Linked DNA regions of Drosophila melanogaster. The protein of the gene in region 1 purifies or fractionates together with the protein of each later gene. This does not show direct contact. Each region holds a gene or a part of one and is shown in the gene's direction. Other genes may lie near its edges.

The links. Proteins that work in one complex are often made in the same cells at the same time.
Region 2: the proteins of CG9467 (region 1) and Art4 purify together in Drosophila melanogaster (affinity purification with mass spectrometry, with the first as the bait; one large-scale study listed by BioGRID). This does not show direct contact.

What each region holds. Positions count from the first base shown.
Region 1 is NT_033777.3:9,796,662-9,803,306, reverse strand, and holds CG9467 (uncharacterized protein), read left to right. Parts: upstream 1-2,280; 5' UTR 2,281-2,576; coding exon 2,577-2,638; intron 2,639-2,716; coding exon 2,717-4,847; coding exon of another isoform or gene 4,848-5,018; 3' UTR 5,019-5,538; downstream 5,539-6,645. Other genes in the region: CG8526 (uncharacterized protein), read right to left, coding at 1-1,393, 1,455-1,678, 1,731-1,827; CG8516 (uncharacterized protein), read right to left, coding at 6,304-6,645.
Region 2 is NT_033777.3:9,981,747-9,987,893, reverse strand, and holds Art4 (arginine methyltransferase 4), read left to right. Parts: upstream 1-1,833; 5' UTR 1,834-2,214; coding exon 2,215-2,416; intron 2,417-2,478; coding exon 2,479-3,372; intron 3,373-3,426; coding exon 3,427-3,837; intron 3,838-3,895; coding exon 3,896-3,981; 3' UTR 3,982-5,078; downstream 5,079-6,147. Other genes in the region: Glut4EF (glucose transporter 4 enhancer factor), read right to left, coding at 106-997, 1,061-1,246, 5,524-5,615. UniProt on the Drosophila melanogaster protein: Methylates (mono- and asymmetric dimethylation) the guanidino nitrogens of arginyl residues in proteins. May methylate histone H3 at 'Arg-17' and activate transcription via chromatin remodeling. Coordinates ecdysone-mediated expression of cell death genes.

The sequences.
Region 1 (6,645 bases):
GCGACATGCCCAGCTCATCCTTGATGTAGGGATTCTCGTAGTGCGGCAGCAGATAGTCTACCACCTCGTGATTACCTAACTGGCAGGCGTAGTGCAGAGCCGTTCGTCCAGTCCGATCAGCCAGCGTGAGATTGGCTCCGGCTAGCCGAAATGACTCCAATCGCTTGATCTTGCCCCGCTCGGTAAGGGCACGTAGTAGCTCCGCCTGGACCAGCGGCTGATCGTTCAGCTTGGCGCCGTTCTTGAGCAGAGCGTTGATTATATCATGGTTGTCCGTGTCGATGGCCTCGTGCAACGGCGTGCGGTTGAATCGATCGTGGACATTTACCGGACAGCCGGCGGAAATTAGAAAGCAAACGCAGTTCAGTTTGCCCAGGAAGCAGGCCAGGTGCATGGCGGAGCGACCATCGCAGTTGGTGTCGCACAGATTGGCGCCGTACTGCTTAAGATCGCCCAACTTGTGGACATCACCTTCGGTGACCGCGGCCGCCACCAAAGCGGGATAGAATGTGGAGCACATCTGCTGCCGTTCCATCGCCGTCGACATGTGCAATGTGCGGGCCACGCCCTCGATCAGATCAATGTCGTTAATCTTGGCAACCTTATTGGTGGTCAGCTCTCCGCGCAAACTTAGTAGCATCACCTTCTTCTTGTTGGGAATGTCCCACTCCGGCTTGGACAGCACATAGGCCAGTTTGGTAAAGGCTGCCTCCTGAGTCATATCGTAGCCGGGTATTACGCCCACTTCCATCAGACCCTGGCTTGTCTCGTAAATGTTGGCCACCATGCCCGCCGAGCACTGCGTAATGTTGACAATAATAACGCCTCTGTGAACCGCCTCCCTCAGTTCGTCCAGCAAGTCCTCACGATTAACCGGAAAATTGCCGGCCCCAAAGGTCTGGAGGACAACACCTTTCGTTGGCTCTTTCAGGATTGCCTGCACCACACTGGCACTTATTCCCGGGTAAATACGCAGCAGCGCCACGTTCTTTTCGAGTTCCGAATGAAGTGAAAATGGTTTAATATTGCACGGTCGGAAGATTTGGCGGCTGTTGATCTCAATGTTGACACTCGCCCGACCCAATGGTGCAAAATTTGGTGAGTCCAGTGCGTGAAAAGAGTCAGAATTGAGCTTCGTGGAGCGACAGCCACGTAGAATCTTGTTGCCGAAGAAGACCAGCACTTCGGGTATACTGTAATTTCCTGCTATGAGAAGTGCGCCCAAGAAGTTCTCCCGCCCATCGCTGCGGGCTTCAAAGATCGGAATCTGTGCCCCAGTGAATACCACGGGCTTGTTCAGGCTCTCAAGCATGAACGCTAGTGCCGAGGCGGAGTAGGCTAGGGTATCCGTTCCATGGAGGATCACAAAGCCGTCGTAGGACTTGTATGTCTTCTGCGAAAAAAGTTAGTTGCATATTTTGTATTAACCTGATGATCCTCGACTCTCAACTTACTCCCACTTCGTTGGCAATGCGCTTCCAGTCGCAGAAGCCCATGCAGCTGGAGTCCATCAGTGGGCAGAACTCAATCAAATCGTAAAGGACTCTATACGGAGCTCCAGACACTGCGGGTAGCACCATCATGGGACCATCATTATCCTTGCTGGTGTAATTCCTGTCGTGGCAGCTGGGAAACTCTTGAAGCTGCCGAGCCAGCACCTTGGGCGCGGTGTGCAGTACTGATGAGAAACAATTGATTAGTACACGGACAAGAGCCATTGATATACCCACCTCCGGACTCGTTGCGGATCATTCCGATGGTTCCACCCACGTAGATGACATGGACGCGAGCCTCCTTCTTCAAACAACCGCACTTCGCCGCCGGCATTTTGGGCTTTTTCGAAATTTTGAGTGGTGTCCGAAACTAAACTAAAGCGTAGTTCCAAAGGCTCAGAGTGTGACAGCAAGATCCATGAGCTTTTTGTTTTGATGCTTAATACAAGTCATAACTTTACAATATTTTCAAATTTACCACCAAGCGAAATAAACCGTTGCTTGACGAAAAGGTGGTATGACCGTATTGCATGGGAATTTAACCGAGAGTTAGAGATGTACACTGCTTCACAAGAAATATCGTTGCTTATAATTGTGGAAATGCATATACTTTCTGATGCCCAAATTAATTTTATTTCTATATTAATTATTTTTTAATGATGAATTGTTGTTTGGAAACCATCAAAAACCTTGGTGAGTTAACACATACAAAATCAAAAGTGGAAAGTTCAGCAAAACAACTAAATGCAACAGGGACCCCCCGTAAACAGTGACTCGTCATGGCTGGGAACAGTCACGACCAATTTGCCCATCCCTAGTTTCTACAGTGCAGTGCAACAAATAATAAATAAATAAATAGCCTGGCACAAAGAGTTAATCGAATAAATTGCACCCCGCAGCGCACGTCAAGTGGGTTGGGTACCGAAATCGCGAGTTATCTGCTCCGCTGACGCCGCTGCCACTGCTCCGCCATATCAGTTGCTGATTGGAGCGCTGGGAGCACGGAAGCCACACAAATAGAGGCGCATTTAGAGCAATCCCCACCGTCCGCTGCTGCGGCAGCCCGCGGGTCATCGGATTGCCATGTCCCACTTCACGCATGCCTCCAGCAGCGACCTGGTCAACCTCAATGTGGGTGGTCAGCGGTAAGAACAAAGAACCAACACATTACGGCCCACTAACGGCATTGATGACGCATGCAAACTCCATCTCACTATCCATAGCTTTTCCACGTCGCGGCAAACGCTTACGTGGATCCCGGACACCTTCTTCACGGCTCTTCTCAGCGGACGCATCTCGAGTCTCAGAGACGAGCACAATGCCATCTTTATTGATCGCGATCCGACGCTCTTCTCGATCATACTTAACTACTTAAGGACCAAGGACATCGACATCAAGAACTGCGAAATACGCGCTCTGCGCCATGAGGCCGAGTACTATGGCATCACGCCGCTGACCAAGCGCCTGGCCCTCTGCGAAGACCTTAACCACTCGTCCTGCGGTGATTTGCTGTTCTACGGATTTCTGGCGGCGCCGCCCATGCCGTCAAACGAAGCTGTGGCTGCTACTAGCGTTGACGAGTCATTGCCCTCCACTTCGGCCAGTGCGATTGGCAGTCGTCCTGGGTCCATGGTGCGCGTTCCCGAACCCTCACGCTCCTCACACTCGCGCAATTCATCATGGGATCTGCGCCTTGGTCGCACAGGTAGCACTGGCAATGGTGCCAATCCCCCAGCTCCCATGTTGCACTCACGTAATCCCTCGATTGACTTTATGCGCCACTCTCGGAACTCCTCGGCCGATCTGAACAAAGTCTTTCGAAACGAAGTTGGCCTGGTATTCAGTCCCACGCAGAACTCAAACTGGGTGGACCCGTTGCGAGTGCAAATCATTAAGGCGCACCAAAATTGGATAGCAGTGGCTTACGCACACTTTGTGACTTGCTACCGGGTGAAAGACTCCAACGGATGGCAGCAGGTGTTCACATCGCCCCACATCGACGCCACTATCGAAAGAATCGCCATCAACTCAAAGGTGAATACTTCCGCAGCAGAGCCACTGCCCAGCAAGATGGTGGCCATTTCTTACGGCAGTCAGATAAGATTGTGGAGCATTCAGGAGGGCGGCCAGAAAACGGATGTGGGCACGTTTAATTTAAATGTGCGAGTGGAGTACCTGTTCTTTATCGGCAGTCAGCTGGTGGCCCTGTCATCTTCCGGCAAGATCGGCGTCTGGCATGCGATGACGCAGCACTGGCAGATTCAGGACCTAGTGCCCGTGCTCTCATTCGATTCCGCAGGCTCTTTTTTGCTGCTGGGCTGCAACAACGGCTCCATTTACTACATAGACATGCAGAAGTTCCCGCTCCGGATAAAGGACAATGATTTACTGGTTACCGAGCTCTACAAAGATGTCACACTAGACCCTATCACGGCCATCTCGGTCTACCTTACCCCAAAAACCTCGAGCATAAGTGGCAATTGGATTGAAATTGCCTATGGCACAAAGTCGGGAGCGGTTCGAATCATTGTCCAGCATCCGGAGACAGCTGGCCATGGACCACACCTGTTCGAGACCTTCTTTGTGCACCAAAGCCCCGTAACGAAGGTGATGCTGTCGGAGAAATACCTCGTCTCCGTGTGCAGCGAATACCACCACGTGCGAACATGGCGTCTGACCCGCTTCCGGGGCATGCTCTCCACCCAGCCGGGATCCACGCCGGAAGCATCGTTCAAAATCGTGTCGCTGGAAGCTACCGATACGAGCTACAGCTATGCGGCTGGAAATGATTTTGGACCTTACGGTGACTACGACGACATGATATTTGTGCAAAAGGTGGTGCCCGAGACGGATCAGCTGTACGTACGCTTGGCCTCCAACGGTGATCGGGTGTGCGTCATTAGATCCGTAGATAGCTCCACAATTTCGGCCTTCTGTGTGCTCGAGTGCGAGGTATCGTCCCGGTTCATACTCACCGGTCACTGCAACGGCGCTATTCAAATGTGGGACCTAACCACTGCACTGGCGCTGCTCTCCAAGGATGAGCCGCAGCAGAAAATCAATGGCGGACCCGACACCAATGAGCTTCTCCGCCTACTTGACCAGTGTGAAATCAGCAATTCATCATGCACAACACCTTGTATGTCACCGTGTCTATCAGCTATGGGCAACGGCTCTGGAATGGCCTCCTCCATAGCCCGCATGAAAGCCAGCAACATAGCCCTGCTAAATCGGGAACCAGCAATGGCAATGGCCGTCCAAGCCGTCCAGCCGCCCGCTCAGGTCCAACCTGCTCTTCCAGAGGCTGTGGCGCCGGCAGCTGCTATCCCGATGGCTGACGACAACAACGAATGAGACGTGGAAGCGGCTGCTTGATTGGCGCTTGTCGGGCGCGTTTCATCGTTTACATTTCACAGGTATAGCTTAATCTTCGACTACCAGTTTATATTCCTGCAGTTCGTGGTGTGCGCCCTCATCTACGTCTGGGTGACGCGACTCACCCGCGGTCCAGCCACTGGGCCGTGATGAACTGCCAGCAGGCATTTACCCAATCAATTAATCTCCATTATATGTGCTCGATGTGTTTGCAAATGCAATGTGTATCCCGTAAACCCATTTTTTGTGCTCCTCCAAACTTGGATCGTACAGTTAGTAATTTAAAAAAAAAACGTCTGTCTTTGTTCTAGTTAAAGTTATGAAAATTAGTTAAAACCATGTAAACCAGAGTATAAGACTTCTGCAACCGATCATCTATAATTAGCACAACTCTCCTAAAGGGTGCTCCATCAGGACAGATACGAAATCGTTCGGCTTGGATAAGATTGGTTGCCTTAAGCAAAGAAAGTTCATTAAACAGCCAATCAGTTGATTGTCAACCTTGAAGATGATTACTTGTGATTAAAATCGATAGAGCGACTGCTTCAAATTCGAATCTGTCCTGTTGCATGCAATGCCACACATGAATATAATGATACGCCTTGTTGCAACCAGTAAACAGCTATACATATTCAATATAAATAAAGATAATTATACACAAAGAGATATCAAAATAGCGAGCGAGTTGTGTCATCAATAATTTATTGAACATTTTATCTTAGTTTCTTGATGGTTGAAGTGTTCCATTAACATTTATCAAATACAAATACTTGGCTTGCATTCTCGTGGGTGTTGTGTGTGTAAATACGTGTATATACGATATCCTACGCCTATACCGGACCTCAGTAAAGTAAAAAAGCAGCAAAAACGCCAAAACATATAAAAATATATATAATATACATTTGTGTATTGTAGGTAAGTTACCCCAACCCAACCCCGACCGCCATTTAAATATCATTGGCCTAAACACAACCCACTAACGACCGCCGGTGTGCTTAATAAACAATTTAAACAAGTGGCTCGTCAAGTGGGACCCCTGCCTTTAATTTACCTAAAATAGGACGCACTGGTACTGAGATAGAATAATAATAATGGAGTAGATACTTGGAGCGATTACCCACCCTCGCCCGGAAGCAATTGTCGAGCCGTTCATACAAATAGTTTGTACACAAATTCAACCTAAAGCTATGCTATATTCTAAAGGGCAAACCGATATGAAGCTGTGCCATTCTGGGATATCTGTTGTCCCGGATTTGCCCGTGGGTCAGTGACCCGTTGCCGTGCAATCTAAGACTGTCGCTTAGCGGTCGCCGTTCCTAACTACGATGAAGCGTTAATGTGTATGGGGGATCTGTGCATTGAATGGATGATATGTGTGCGTAAAGAATTGCTTAGCAAAAACTGATGAGGGGAGATCCAGCTCACTGGACACGGGCTACACGTGAAAGTAGTCGTCCACTAGCAACTGTTCACTTGGTGTAAATGCTGCCCCACTCCGCGGACTGCTCGTCTGCGTGTCTGACTCCTGATCCGTCTGCAGCGGCTCGTAGCCGGGCTCTATCCCACTGCTAGTGTTGGTCGTCGCTGTTGTCGTTGTCGCTGTATTGGACGCCGTGGTGAGATAGCACACCGACTCATAGTTAGGATCCGTTTCGCTCCCCGTGCCCGTCAGCGATTCATATTGCGAGGAGATCGGCGTGCTGGTGGCAACCGTTGAAGAGTTAAGCGACACGGAATTGGATGTGGAGCTGGGCGATGTGGGGGTCAAGCGACTGCT
Region 2 (6,147 bases), 190 kb from region 1:
TGCTGATGCTGATGATGATAATGCTGCTGATGATGCTGCTGTTGCTGCCTTGGACTGGTGCGCCGACGCCTGGTTTGCCGCCTCCGTCGACGACTTCTGTCGCTTTCAGTCGCCGAAGCGACTGCACGCCTTCTTCCACCGGCACTGGGTGCACCACTGGTCGCGTTTCTCCATGCCGTACACCTTGCGGCACTTTTTGTTCTCGCCACGCGTCCTCTTGCCGGGCGAATGGGGCGTATGCTTGACGGCTACCTGTTGCGCCATGTGCTGTTGCTGCTGCAGCGGATTGCTTCCGTTGCTGTGGTTGTTACTGTTGTTTTGGGCAACCATGTTGCCGGCAGTTGTCTGTGGATGCTGCTGCTGGTGGCCGCGCATCGGTTGGTGGTGGTGCTGCTGCTGCGCCGGATGGAAATTGGGCGTGATCGTCACACTGGACAGGAGATGTTGCTGCTGCTGTTGGTGGCTGTGTTGCTGCTGCTGCTGGTGGTGTTGCTGCTGCTGCAGTTGCTGCTGCTGCTGGCTGTGGTGCGCCGTCACTGTGACGTTCTGCTGCGACAGCTGCTGCAGCATGTTGTTGGCACTGCTATTGCTGTGGATCACTGGACTGCTGCTGCTGCTGCTGTTGCTGCTGCCGCTGCTGCCGGCGTAATTGTGGTGGTGCGTGTGTTGGTGGTGCTGCTGTTGCTGGACGTACGTCGGCGATGGATATGGCGCTACCGAGTGGGTCGGACGGGAGGACGACGAGCGAGCGTGCTTGCCGATCGGCGAGGCTGATGAACTGGCCGCCACCGACCCCGTCCCCGTGGAGGAGTAGCTGCCCACTGTCGCCGTCGCCGCCGGGCATGTGTAGTTGTGGTGGGCTAGGTGCGAAGTGGGGATGCAGCTGGTGTTGTTGTTCTGCAGCTGCTGCTGGTGGGTGCTCGGGATGTTGCTGCCACTGATGGTGCGTCCGTGCGACTGCGCTAGATGGTTATAGTGGCTACCGCCGCGTCCTTGCCTGGAAAATCGAAAAAGGATAATGTCATTAAATGTATCTATATCGTGCACCAAGAGAACCCACTTGAAGTTGCCAACAATCTGCTTCTGGTACTCGGGATCCTCGTGCGGCGGACGCGCCATGTCCCGGTGACTCAGAGTCGGCTCGGAGGCCAGAGTGGGCTTCACCTGCTCGACGTCGTCGTCGGCATCCTCGAGGTAGAAGTCCTCCTCATTTCCGTCATCATCCGCGGAGCGATGGGAGTCCTTTCTGCAATGCCACCGAAAAATAGCGAAATTGATTAGAAGGATGTGTCAGTGATGGCAAGTTTGCTTCAGTTATGTACCTAGGTTCGGTATTACTTCAAATCAGATTGATAGCTTTTAAATTAACGAACTTAAGTTGTCTAACGTTGTTTATTCGATTTAATTCAATTCAAACAAATAGGAAAAATATTTTAAAATGAATGCTAAAAATTGCTGTTAAACTTTGGTCAATATTTATTAAGGTACCTCATTTAGGTACCTACTCTCCATTTCAAGCGACCGCTTTTTTGTACTAGCGTTGCCAACTAGCCGACCACCCACATTAGGTTCGAGGCCCTGCTAGAAGTGTTCCAGAGTTCTGAACCTTGATTCTATCCACTTAAAAAACTATATTATTTCTTTTTACATTTCTTTTCCCCGCACTATTTTTTTTCAATTATATTTCAAAATGAAATTGAGATTGATGCAAGCTTCCTTGCATACAATTCTTTTGTAAATCTCACTAGACTGAAAAATCGCTTAGTCTTAAGGTAGTGCGCGGTAATAATCCTATCGAAAAGCATCGGACTTGGTCCCACCTCTAGCCTCAACTATTTGTTCCAGCTCTAGCACTTTTTGCAAAAAAGAACGCATGTTCCGTGTGAAATCAATACGAAATCAACAAGAGCGATCGATTTTGAGTAATCGTCCGAGTTGAAAAGCAGCGCACTATATAGTTCCCAGCGCCAATTAATCCAGCTGCCCGAGTCACCAGCCATTTTGTGTGTGGTGGAAAATTTTGCAGATAGAAAAAATTGCGCGTCTGTCTGTCTGCATCTGCGTATCTGTGTGTGTGCGTGTGCTAGAGTGTTTGTGTGTGTGCGTGCGTGCGTGTGTATAGCGAGGTCTACATTGTCAATTAACAAGGGAAAAAAGACGCTTGTGGTCCTGCTTTGTTCCTTTGCCTCTTTACCCTCCAAAAAGCCAGCCAACATGTCCAGCCTGCGACCCGAGGAGGCCCGAAAACTGGCCACCGCCGCCTCCGTTTCGCCGCTGAGCAATTGCCAATTTTGCGGCGTGGTAATCAGCTCGATTGCCGACGAGCAGAAGCTAGAGTTTACCAACAAATACAAGGGAAGCTGCACGCTGCTCTGCAGCTACGATTCCCAGGGTGTCGTCCTCCGTGTTGTGTCAGGTAAAAGAGGACATCGAATGTTTCATAAAACCCGTTCCTTATATCGCCAATCTCTCCACCAGACGACGACCGGAGCCACGTGCTCAAGGAGTACATGATAGCCGCCGATACGGATGCCGCCCAAATGGGACGAAGGAGTTATGCCGTTTCCCTGGACGCCGACAATCTAGTGCTGAGGTTTGCCAGCGAGCAGGACCAGCAGCTCTTCCGCAAAGTGGTGGAGAACGTGAAGCACTTGAGACCCAAGTCCGTGTTCTCGCAGCGCACTGAGGAGTCGTCCGCCTCGCAGTACTTCCAGTTCTACGGCTACCTCAGTCAGCAGCAGAACATGATGCAGGACTATGTAAGGACAAGCACGTATCAGCGGGCCATTCTAGGCAATGCTGTGGATTTTCAGGACAAGATCGTCCTGGATGTGGGCGCCGGCTCGGGCATTCTCTCCTTCTTTGCCGTGCAGGCGGGAGCTGCCAAAGTGTACGCCATTGAGGCTTCCAACATGGCCCAGTACGCCCAGCAGCTGGTTGAGTCCAACAATGTGCAGCATAAGATCTCTGTGATACCGGGGAAGATCGAGGAGATCGAGCTGCCCGAGAAAGTGGACGTTATCATATCAGAGCCTATGGGCTATATGCTGTACAACGAGCGCATGTTGGAGACCTATCTGCATGCCAGAAAGTGGCTCAAGCCGCAAGGAAAGATGTACCCCACGCACGGCGACTTGCACATAGCACCCTTTTCGGACGAATCGCTCTACTCGGAACAATATAACAAGGCCAACTTCTGGTACCAGTCGGCGTTCCACGGCGTTGACCTTACCACGCTGCACAAAGAGGGCATGAAGGAGTACTTCCGACAGCCCATTGTGGACACCTTCGACATCCGCATATGCATGGCCAAGTCGGTGCGGCACGTGTGCGACTTTCTCAACGATAAGGAGGACGATCTGCATTTGATAAGTAAGTACCCGAAAAAGTGATTTGCGACAATGGCCAACTGTTGACTTTCCGCAGGCATCCCCCTGGAGTTTCACATTCTGCAAACTGGCATCTGCCATGGGCTGGCCTTTTGGTTTGATGTGGAGTTTAGCGGCAGCAGCCAGAATGTGTGGCTCTCAACGTCGCCCACAGCGCCTCTGACACATTGGTATCAGGTTCGCTGCCTTCTGCCCATGCCCATCTTTATTAAGCAGGGCCAGACGCTGACCGGCCGTGTCTTACTGGAGGCCAATCGGCGGCAGTCGTATGACGTGACCATCGACCTACACATCGAAGGCACGCTGATTTCGTCGAGCAACACCCTGGACCTTAAGAATCCGTATTTTCGGTACACGGGGGCCCCGGTCCAGGCACCGCCGGGGACTAGTACCCAAAGTCCATCTGAGCAGTACTGGACACAAGTGGACACGCAAGGATCACGCAATTGTAAGAACAAATCCTTGATATAATAATCTCATTGCTTATGTGATTATAATTTCTATAGCTTCAAGCATGCTAAATGGAGGGATCAGCGTGAACGGAATAGGCGAAGGCATGGACATCACTCATGGACTTATGCATCCGCACTAGGGGGGCGGTGGATCGAATAACAATACATCTTTCTGGGAATTCCCTTTGCTCTAAGTCCGCTCACTTTCTACGCTTGATCCTAATTTTGCCAATTTTTGTTTTGTTACAGTTTATGATTAGGTTATTTATTGAAAAGTGTAAAATATTTTTATCTATTTTCGAAAGTTAGTTCTGTTCTGTTTTGCATACCTTTTAACAACCTCTTTCCCTATCGTGCTATACTTATCCTCCCTTCTCTTACCCATTTAATCGATCGGACAAATCGAAGGAAATCCAGCATCCCAGCAAGTAACCAACATACAAACAATCAACAAATCAAGGCAGACTAATGTAGTTGTTTAGAACACGCAGCATATTAATAAGCCTAAGCTAATTTAAGCCCATAGTAATTAGAGTTTTTAACGTATGTGAATTGTAATACCGATATTTAGCCCGCACGGGACTGCGCTTCAGGAAGTTTATTAGTTAATATGCCGATTGCCAATTGCAGATTTTGCCGTAAGCTTTGAACAAACCAACAAATTCAGATTGTACTGTATCTATTATGTGTGTTATTATACTATATATTGTGTGTACCTCCAGCTAGTTTCAATTTTTGTACTTGTCGACCGTGTTTATGTTTAGTTCGTTTCAAAATGTAAGAAATTGCTCATAGGATTTAGTGCTAAGCTACGATATCATTACTAAAGGCCGACCTGGGTCGAGAGATTATACTTATACCCCCAATACGATTATGATTAATTCAGTTCAGTGGAGGCACACCTCGTTCGATCCTAAGTTACGCATCCAAGCCCAGATCCTGTCATAGACCCAACTATATCGCTGCCAGCAAGCCGAGCGCTATATAAGCATATACACCTAGATATACGCGTTAGGTACGCCAACCTATACACACCCCGACATTCTCGCATTCGTATCCTGTTTGCGGACTGTACTTTATAGAGCAGCAAGTAGAAACACAAAAACACTACAACACCCAATACACTGCAAACATAAATATAAAGCAAAACATATACAATTATATATATATATATATATATACGAATAGATATACCGCATGTATGCAGATGAGAGAACAATGTCAAAGCAAAAGCAGCAAAAAACAAAGCCCCACCGCGTCTTTTATTTGTGCACCCCCACTTGGAACCCCTCTCGATTTACATAGGAAACGAGATTGGCAAGTGTCAAAGCTCAGCGCGGATCGTGTGTGGGCGCTTTGAATTGGACCTTGGCCTCAAAAGCGCCACCACCACTGCACCTGCCACCCACTGCTGCTATTGCTGGCCTGCTGCTGCAGGTGCGCATTGCAAAGTAATCTGCGTGCTGGAGAGGGGCTACGCCGCACTCGTGTGACCTGCTTACTGTGCTCGAGTGCTCTACTTTCGAGGCACCACCAACACCACCTTCAGCACCCGCTCCGGGCGTGTGGAAGTGCTGGCGGGGAAGGAACGAGAAGGTCGGGTGGCTAAGTCAAGGCCCCGCCCACTTGCTGCTCGCCACCTAATCCTCTGATAGCAGTGCCATTCCCACTTGTACACTTACCCCAAATGTGTTTTCCTAATGTGACGCACGACTCCATTGAGATCGTCTACCACGCCAACACATCCTCGATAGACGCATCGGAACTTTTTGGACTGCAATGACAAGAGAAGGTGATTCTGATTAGATTGATTACATATTACATATTATTAGTTTGCTCTTGAATATAAATATTAATTAAATATATCCTTTAATATCTAGCGTACTTGGCGGGAATACGGCTGCATCACTGAATCCTCGGAGGAAGACGTGGAGGAGCGCGAGCAACTATCCCCCGTGGGACTGTGGCGACCGTAGCCCTCGTAGTCACTGCGCTCCACGTAGTAATTCATTGCCATAGTGTGCATGATGGTGGTTCTGCAGCAGCTCTCCAACTGGCGGCTCTTTAGCGGTTGCAGTCGCAGCTGTGGAGCAGTAGCAGGAACAGGAGCGATTCGAACCGGTGCCGGCCCGGTGCCAAGTGCGACTGTGTGAGTGCGGACAATGCAACTGGCTGGCTGGCTGGCTGCTTGGCTGAAAGCCAGATTCGAAGTCCTTGGACTCCCGAGCGGCAAACGATGCCGCCCGAACGAGCTGGCTGCCTGGCTGGCCATGCTCGATGCCGCCTGCACTGATAACAGGGCCCGG